Oryctolagus cuniculus: one gene and its partner. The protein of the gene in region 2 interacts with the protein of the main gene of each other region in a pairwise test. Links are inferred from orthologs where the notes say so. Each region holds a gene or a part of one and is shown on either strand. Other genes may lie near its edges. The genes, in order: PTPN5 and VTI1B.

Evidence for each region.
Region 1: the proteins of VTI1B (region 2) and PTPN5 interact in binary tests that used the Homo sapiens proteins (3 or more experiments, as listed by UniProt). The two-hybrid records come from large-scale screens. The link is inferred for Oryctolagus cuniculus from reciprocal best matches to the Homo sapiens genes VTI1B and PTPN5.

Annotation. Positions count from the first base shown.
Region 1 is NC_091432.1:47,714,357-47,718,160, reverse strand, and holds part of PTPN5 (tyrosine-protein phosphatase non-receptor type 5), read right to left. Parts: intron 1,458-3,804; coding exon 1,378-1,457; intron 1,250-1,377; coding exon 1,112-1,249; intron 657-1,111; coding exon 546-656; intron 1-545. UniProt on the Homo sapiens protein: May regulate the activity of several effector molecules involved in synaptic plasticity and neuronal cell survival, including MAPKs, Src family kinases and NMDA receptors.
Region 2 is NC_091451.1:13,562,275-13,566,556, reverse strand, and holds the start of VTI1B (vesicle transport through interaction with t-SNAREs homolog 1B), read left to right. Parts: upstream 1-1,338; 5' UTR 1,339-1,486; coding exon 1,487-1,601; intron 1,602-4,282. UniProt on the Homo sapiens protein: V-SNARE that mediates vesicle transport pathways through interactions with t-SNAREs on the target membrane. These interactions are proposed to mediate aspects of the specificity of vesicle trafficking and to promote fusion of the lipid bilayers.

The DNA of each region.
Region 1 (3,804 bases), on a different chromosome or scaffold from region 2:
GATCCCTCCGCTCACTCTTCCGGGCTGTTCTGCACTGCTCATATGTTGCTGCCTTCCCTTTTCTTGCCATTTTCTGTAACCACAGCCTCTGTGCAGCGCCGCAGCAGCAGGGAGCGTCTGCCCTCTGGTGGACAGGGCCGGCACTACAGCCAGGAGCCCAGCCCAGCCCAGGTCTTGAAGGGACCGTTTCTAGGGCAGATCTCCAAGTCGTTAAGGAGCCCTCACTCATGAGGACCGTGCAGGAGGCTGCAGAAGTCCCCCCATCCACCCCTTCCCGGCCTCGGGCCAGCGGGCATTGTAAATGGCAGTTTACATAGAGAGAGTCCATCAGCAACGAATGTAGCTGAGCTCTAGGAAAAGCAGCTGAGGTTTGGTTTGGTCCTGCCTGGCCCCCAAGTCCATCTGCGCCTCCTTCGCCTCTACTTATCAGTAAATCCTGACAAAGGCCTTTGTTTCCGCTGCAGTGGACGGCTGCACCCTGTTCTCAGTGGAGTCCCCAGTGGTGCCCCTCGCTTCCATCCACCCAGCCCGGCCCCAGAGCTCACCTTGAGGGAGATGAGTCGCAGCCGGTAATCCTCAGTGTGGATGACCCTGTGCACGGTGATCTCTACGCCATCGTGCACCACCTGCTCCTCCGGCCAGTACTCGGTGCATTTCTGCAGGGGCCCAGATCAGGCTGCGACCCGCCCTCTGCCCCATCCCCTGCCACACCCCCATCCCTCCTCAATGCCCCTCCAGGGCCAGCAGGGGGCATAAAAACACAACAGGTCCCGAGCTCCACAATCTATAAGAACATGAACTCTATGGCTCGGCGTATGTATCCGGCAGTTGGAAACTGTCCTCATTCTTAAGGACTTCTATGGGGAGTCAATGAACCCGGCTGTCACGGGTACAGCCAGTGTTGGTCCTGGCCGGCTGGGAAGCAGCTGAGCATCACGGGCACCGGCGGTGGAGAGGCTGGCTCCAGGCTCCACCAGCGACCACATGGTCCAGCTCTGGCTGCTGTGAGCCCCGCCAGCCTCACAGGCCAGTCCTAGGATTCACGTGGGATCCTGATGCTTGGGACAGGACACAAAGCAGCGAGCACTTGGTCACAGCCCGGGGTCCCTACCTCGTTCATCTCCTCGATGTTGGTGATCATGACGATGATGGGCGCGTGCTCCTGCCACACCATGCGCCAGAAGTCGGCCACCGTGCTCACGATGGGGCCCTGCGTGGCGATGTACACCTTCTCCTCGCCGCCGTAGCCCTGTGGCCAGCCGAGCCCAGGTTGTCAGGCTTGGAGGCAGCACTCCCAGGGCCCAGTCCCCACACTGGGGCTTGTCCCGGGGCTGGCAGCAGCCACACTGGTTTGGCCGTCGGGATGGGGCTACGTACCCGGATGTAGTTGGCATTGATGTAGGAACTCAGAGGATCCTCGGGATCTGGCGAGCTCAGACACACTCTGCTGTGAGGGTCTGGGGTGGGGGAGGGAGCCAGGTGAGGCAGGGACCTGGGCACGGCCCACTCCAGGGCCCCACCCCTCTTCTGGGACCCAGGCAATTCTTCCTTCCCCCTGGCCATTAAACAAGGACCCCTCTTGGGGTCCATTTGGACAGGACAGGCGCGGCCTCGGGTAAGGAGGCAGTGGGAGAGGCCCTGTTGTGTGCCCGTGCCCCTTCAGCTGTGCTGCACTCCTTGCACCCCACGTTCTGGGGAAGAGAAAGCTACGGCAGGAAAGGGGTGACCTTCGGTAGAGATCCCCAACAGCAGGTGGCAGCTGCAGAGTGCGGATGCGCTGTCGCTGACCGGCTGAGACGAGACGACAGATGCGTGTGCACAGGGGCCCTCTCTCCCCAGTCTATTCACGTCAGTTCCCCGAGTGACAGATTCCCGTAACATCCTGTTCTTCCCGGGGTAGACTCTGCTTTGTTCCAGCTCCAGCCAGCCTCCCTGTAGTTGTCTGTTCTGGGACCGGGTGCGGGGTGGGCAGGGAAGCTAGCTGGGGGCCTGCAGCTCTGGGGCCTGGGCTCACTTTGGCACAGAGTCTGATCCCTTCTCTGGATCGAAGGCGCTTCTAGCGGGCACAGGGGGGCTTGCACAGGTGGTGGTCATTGCCAAGTCCACATCACCGAGCCAGAGAGCCTGGATGTGGGACGTGGCCCCATGACTCCCCGGCAGCATCGAGGTGGACAGTCTGCCCCGTCTCCCTGTGCCTCGCCTGCACGGTGGGGATGCTCTGTTCACCACGACCCCACATACTGTGTGAAGGTTAAAGGAGGCAACGTTAGTTAGCCGGGTAACTTAGACCAGTGTGCACGCAGCGCCGCACGGCGAGCAGCTGCCACACAGTTGCCATTGCTGCCAACTCTACCATTAGGCAACGGGTAAAGGAAGAGTCTGCAACACGGGCGGCGACGTGCACACCTCGCCTCTGCTGCCCTTTGCCTCCCGGTCCCACTGCCTGAGGTCTTGGCAGCACCGTGGTTGTCGTGCAGAGGGACACAGCAGGGCGGCGCGGATGGAGAGGGGCGAGGGGGAACTTCGGGAGCAGGTAGCTGTGCCTGTGTTTGGCCATCTCCCTTCCCCTGGCCTGCAGGACGGAAGTGGGCACTGCCCACCCCCGCCAGACACCAGAGCCTGCAGCGTGCTGGGCAGGCAGATGAGGAACATACGGCAGTTGAGCATTGGGGCTGCGGGAGCAGACTTGGCCCGGCTGCGTGGGCTTCCTGGAAGAGGTGGCTCCTTGGCGGGGTTGGCAGGCCCTTAGCCGGAGGAGCAGGGGATGCTGTTGTGTGGGATTCCAGTGCCCAGGGCTGGGCGGGACTCGTGAGAGGCGAGGCTGGACGGGAACGAGAGGCTACAGGGTCATCTAACCCAGGCTTAGAAAGCTGACCCTCAAGCCAAGGGCCACTCGGTGGCAGTGGCTGCGTCTGAGGGGGAGAGCGACTCGACCAGGGTTCTGCTGTGCAGCACTCCGCGGGCAGCGCCGGGAGGACAGGAGAGGGGAGCGTGGAAGTCAAGAGAGTGGACAGCAGAGGACCGCGATGAGCCGGGTGAGACGTGTCGGGGGTCACAAGCACGCCTGGCGTGTGCCCAGGTCTCTGTACGTGGCATCCCCTGCGACTGGCCCTGACCTTGTCACTTGGCGGTGAGGACGGAGAGGAGAAGCCGCTGCTGGGAGGTGTTCATCCACCACCCACCTACTCCCCCTCCTCCTAACCTGTCCACCTCTCCCTGCCCTGTCTGTCCATCTATCCACTCATCTGACTGACCATCTACCCACCCGTCCGTCTGTCCATCCACGAGCCACGCGCCAGGCACCGTTTTGGTGCCAGGCCTCCTGCTGGGTTACCATCATGCTGTGCACCTGTCTCTCCCGCTGCACCGGGGCTCCTTGTGCACGGTCTGTCTTATTCACATCTCAGCTCTTAGCCTTGAGAAACGGGTGCTGCCTCAAGGAGACCGCAGGGTGGCCAGGACCTGAGGGGCGGCCTCTGCTAAGCCTGCCCGGTCCTCCTCCCCTGAACCTGGCTCTGAGCGAGCAGGGTTAGCTTGTGCTGGACACACACAGGAGGTTGGGGCCTGGAAGCTAGGCCACGGCTGGAGTGGCTTGAGGCTCTCCATAATCCAGCGAGGACCAGGGGAGACACGGCCTGACTGCTGCCCTCCCCAGTGGGAATCCTGAGTGGCCAGCAGGGCCCTAGGTGCTAGGGGACCCGAGGCCCCCCGCCCCCCCCCCCCAGGCAGGGCTGGGAAGGGGAGGGCAGGAGGAGGAAGAGGTAAGCCGCCCTGAATAACGCACCCTGGCCTTAAATGGTGCTT
Region 2 (4,282 bases):
TTGTAAATATTTAGAAATGGTCATTTTATAGGAAAATTGGCAAACTTTTGATAATACGGTAGAACAGATGAATTAATATTTTACTTAATTTATATTGAACATGCAATAACAAATAAAAATCTTTTTCAGTTGTTTGTCATGTTTTTACTTATGAGAATAAAAACCGTAAGAATTAAGCACAAGCTCACTTATAGTCGAAAGAAGACAACACTTCGTCGTTACAGCTTGGCAGTTATTTCTCACGTTAAGGGCCGTTTAGCCCGGAGTTGAGCTGTAATGCTACAATCTGCAGATGACAGTAACCTGGATTGTGTGCTGACTTGACGCCTCGCGCCCATTGCCTGCTTTGCCGACACAGCTGGAGGTCACTTTGTCCTCGTGTTCTGACCGCGGCATGCTGTTGATCTCTGCGCTGTAGCACAGTGCGCTGCCACCGCCACCCTCAGCTCTTGTCATCTCCGTGCTGGGTGTCACCTCCACGCACTGAGAGCTCAGCACTGTTAAAATCAAGCCTCAAATCTACTAGAAATAAGGGCCCGGGAGACACAAGTCACCAACATTATCCTCTCAGCATTCGCGGGCATTAAAATGTGCGTGCGTTTAAACTGGGCTCCCAGGCAAGCGAGAGCGAAGCGTGAAATCAGCGCCAAGGGGCACCTGTGCGCATGCAGTGCAGGAGAGGGCTTTGTCCACCTAGTGGTGGACCAGCTGAGGAAGCCCCGCCATCGGTGGCCCCTAGTTCATGTGCCCAATGAACTAGGCGAGCCCAGCCTAGAGACCAAGAACGCACACTTTGGGGTCCACTGCCCGGGGTTTCATGACCCTAGCCACCTGACATCCCAGTCCGAGGGCAGGCAGGACCCCGGCCCCGCTGTCTTTCCCAGGCTGAAAGCTAACACCTGATGAGGACACTAATTGTGGAAGCCGGGGTAGCACAGCAACGTGCAGACCCCATATCCAATAGATACCAAACCGCTGCGCAACTGGGCAGGAGGAGACGCCAGCTGAAGCAACACGTGACGCCCGAGCCTGCGCGTCCACTGCGCCGAACTACAACTCCCGGCATGCGCTGCGGCGCCGCCCTCACGGGCAGGGCCGTCAAGGAGGCGGCCGAGCTGCCCGACCCGCGGGCCCGTCGGGCCCTTCCGCTGTGACAACTTCCCCCAACAGCGAACCGGATATTCTAAGCGCTCCGGGAATATCGCTCTAACGTGCGGTGCCGCTGTCCCTCAGGACCCGCTCGGCAGCGAAACCCTTCCGACTTTCCATCAGGCTTTCGCGCACGGCGCTCCCATAGCGTTAGGCTGGAGGGCGTGGACGTTCCGGCGCGGGAGGACCCCGCCGCGGCCCCGGAAGCGCCTCGTCCGCGGCGGCGGGGGCGCGGCGGTCGCCGTGATGGCCGTGGGGCTGGGCGGCTGACCGCCGGGCCGGGAGCAAACTCAGAGCCCAGAACCTCGGCGGCCGCGGCCGTAGCTCGGCCTTCGTGATGGCTACCTCCGCCGCCTCCTCGGAGCATTTCGAAAAGTTGCACGAGATCTTCCGGGGCCTCCATGAAGACCTCTTAGGGGTGCCCGGGCGGCTGCTGGGGACGGCAGGGACCGGTGAGGCAGGGGCGGGACAGACCGTGGGCAGTGCAACCCCGTGCGGCCGGGCGCCAGTCTCGCCGCCCCTCATCAGACACGCCTCCCGGGGACCCCCCCCCCCCCCCGTGGCTTCTTAAAATTCGCATTTTGGGTGGGGAGGAGAGGTCTTTAAATCTGTGATCCTGTGTTCTGGGGAATGGGCTTCTTTCGTAGCTCCCTGTGTATTGTTTTACGCATTTAAAGGCCTTATTCTTGGGGGAGGCCCGTCGTTTCTATCAGTCTGGCAGTAGAGGGGGTGGAACGGGCGTTTGCAAAGAGAAGGGGAAAAAGGGGGAAGAAGCTGCGAGGGAGCGCGGAATCTCACGCTCTCAGCTGTGGAGTCGGGGGTACGTGGGGGAGAGCGCGTCAGCCAGGACGTGGAGGGGTCTGATTGTCCACGCCAGACACTTGGACTTGAGGTGGCGAGTCGGGCGAAGCGTTTCGGGCGGCTGGTTAATGCGGATTTTACTTTCGAGAGAGGGTGCTGGTGGCTGGATAGAGGAGCCGCACAAGAGTGAGGGGCCCGGGCTGAGAGCCCTAGTGGCGGGCGTCCGGGTGCGTGGGTTTCTGGGGAGTTCTGCATCCAAGAGCTGGCTCGGAGGCAGGAGCTGACCGGCCGGAGCGGCTGTGGGGAGCGAGGAGCAGCCGCGCAGGGGCCGGCGCGCTCACCTGCAGGCAGCGGAAGCCCACTTGCCCGGGTGTGTGTGTGAGGGCGGCGGGGGCGCCTGTGGAGCGGACATCACGGGGTCGCGTCCGTTGTAGCCTGACGAAATACGTGGTCTGCCGCGGGGAAGAACAGACCGGGGAACTGGGAGGCAGCGGTGAAGCAGGAATCCTAGGGCCGGGGTTCAGATCCACTTCAGCAGTGTGACCGCGGACACGTTTCTTTAACCAAACTAGTGTCCCCTGCAAAATGGGAATAAACTGAACTGTCTGCTTCTAGGGTTTTTGTGAGGAATAAATGCGTGAATCAGGATAACGCCCCTGACGATAGTAGGCAATTTCTTGTCATTAATATGTGGGGAACTGAGTGTTTCGGGCGAGACTACCAGCTCTGTATACTACCTCTCTTAGCTTGCTCTGCGTTTCCCCCAGATCGCTTAGTCTCTAACAGCGTACTAGACACTCCGCATATTTGTGATAGTTACAGTTGTTTGTCTTCTTTCCCCAGAGTAGTTTTTTTTTTTTTTTTTTTTTTTTTTTTTTAATTTATTTGAAAGGCAGAGTTAGAGAGAGAGACAGAGAAAAGTCTTCCATCCGCTGGTTCACTCCCCAATGGCCGCAACAGCCAGAGCTGAGCTGATCCAAAGCCAGGAGTCTCCGGGTCTCTCATGTGGGTGCGGGGGCCCAAGGACTTGGGCCATCTTCTACTGCTTTCCCAGGCCACAGCAGGGAGCTGAATCAGAAGTGGAGCAGCCGGGACTCAAACCCATGCTCATCTGGGATGCGTGGCAGGTGGTGGCTTACTTCACAGTGCTGGTCCCCAGAAACTGTTTTTTGTTTGTTTGTTTGTTTTTTAATATTTATTTATTTGAAAAAGTTACACAGAGAGGAGAGGCAGAGAGAGAGAGAGAGAGAGAGAGAGATGTCTTCCATCCAATGGTTCACTCCCCACTGGCCACGACGGAGCTGCGCTGATCCGAAGCCAGGAGCCAGGAGTTTCTTCCGGGTCTCCCATGTGGGTACAGGGGCCCAAGGACTTGGGCCATCTTCTGCTTTCCCAGGCCATAGCAGAGAGCTGGATTGGAAGTAGAGCAGCCAGGTCTGGAACCGGTGCCCATATGGGATGCTGATGCTTCAGGCCGGGGCATTACCCCACTGTACCACAGCGCTGGCCCCCAGAAACTGTTTTAACAAGCAGTTTGGTTTAACCACCCACCTGGGGATATTTTTTAAATTTACAAAAGAAAAATTGTGTTGTACCCCCCAAGTAGTTACCATATTCTCACTGCATTTCCATTTCCCTATGAACATGTCTTATTACTATATTTGTCAGAATTAAAGAGCTCACACCCAGTTTCCCTTGTTTTTAAACCCAAACTCTTTTTATCCCTTCCAGCACGCCCAGCCTCTAGTAATCAACATTCAGTGTTCAGATTGAGAGGTTTGGTTTGGTTTTGTTGGTTTTTTAAATTTTAGCTCCCACATACAAGGGAGAACAATGCAGTATGTGTCTGTCTGTGTCTGGCCTTACTTCACACAACATGATGTCCTCCGATTCCAACCATTTTGCTACAAATGACAAGATTTCATTCTTTTTTAAAAGTAACACTTCAGTGTATATACATTCCACATTCTCTTCATCCATTCCTCCCATGGTGGACACCTTGGCTGAGTCGTTACTTTGTCTGTTGTGATGAGCACGGTGGAGCAGGCCCGCTGGGTGAGCTCTGAGTCACTATTGAAGTCAGTGCTGTGTTCGTGTGTTATGTATCCTAAGCACTTAGAGTGTCTGGTGCCTCCTGGATGCTCCATAAATAGCTGTTGAACGATTGATTATATAATTGCTGCGAAGAAGGTACTCATTTATGACTGTTGAGACTCAGTGACTGACTTCTGTTCACGTTTTCATTACTTTTAAGATGGACATCTAGACCCATTAGAACCACAGGAGAGATTTTTTTCCCCATAGTGTACATTCAGTTTCTGCCTTTGAAGGA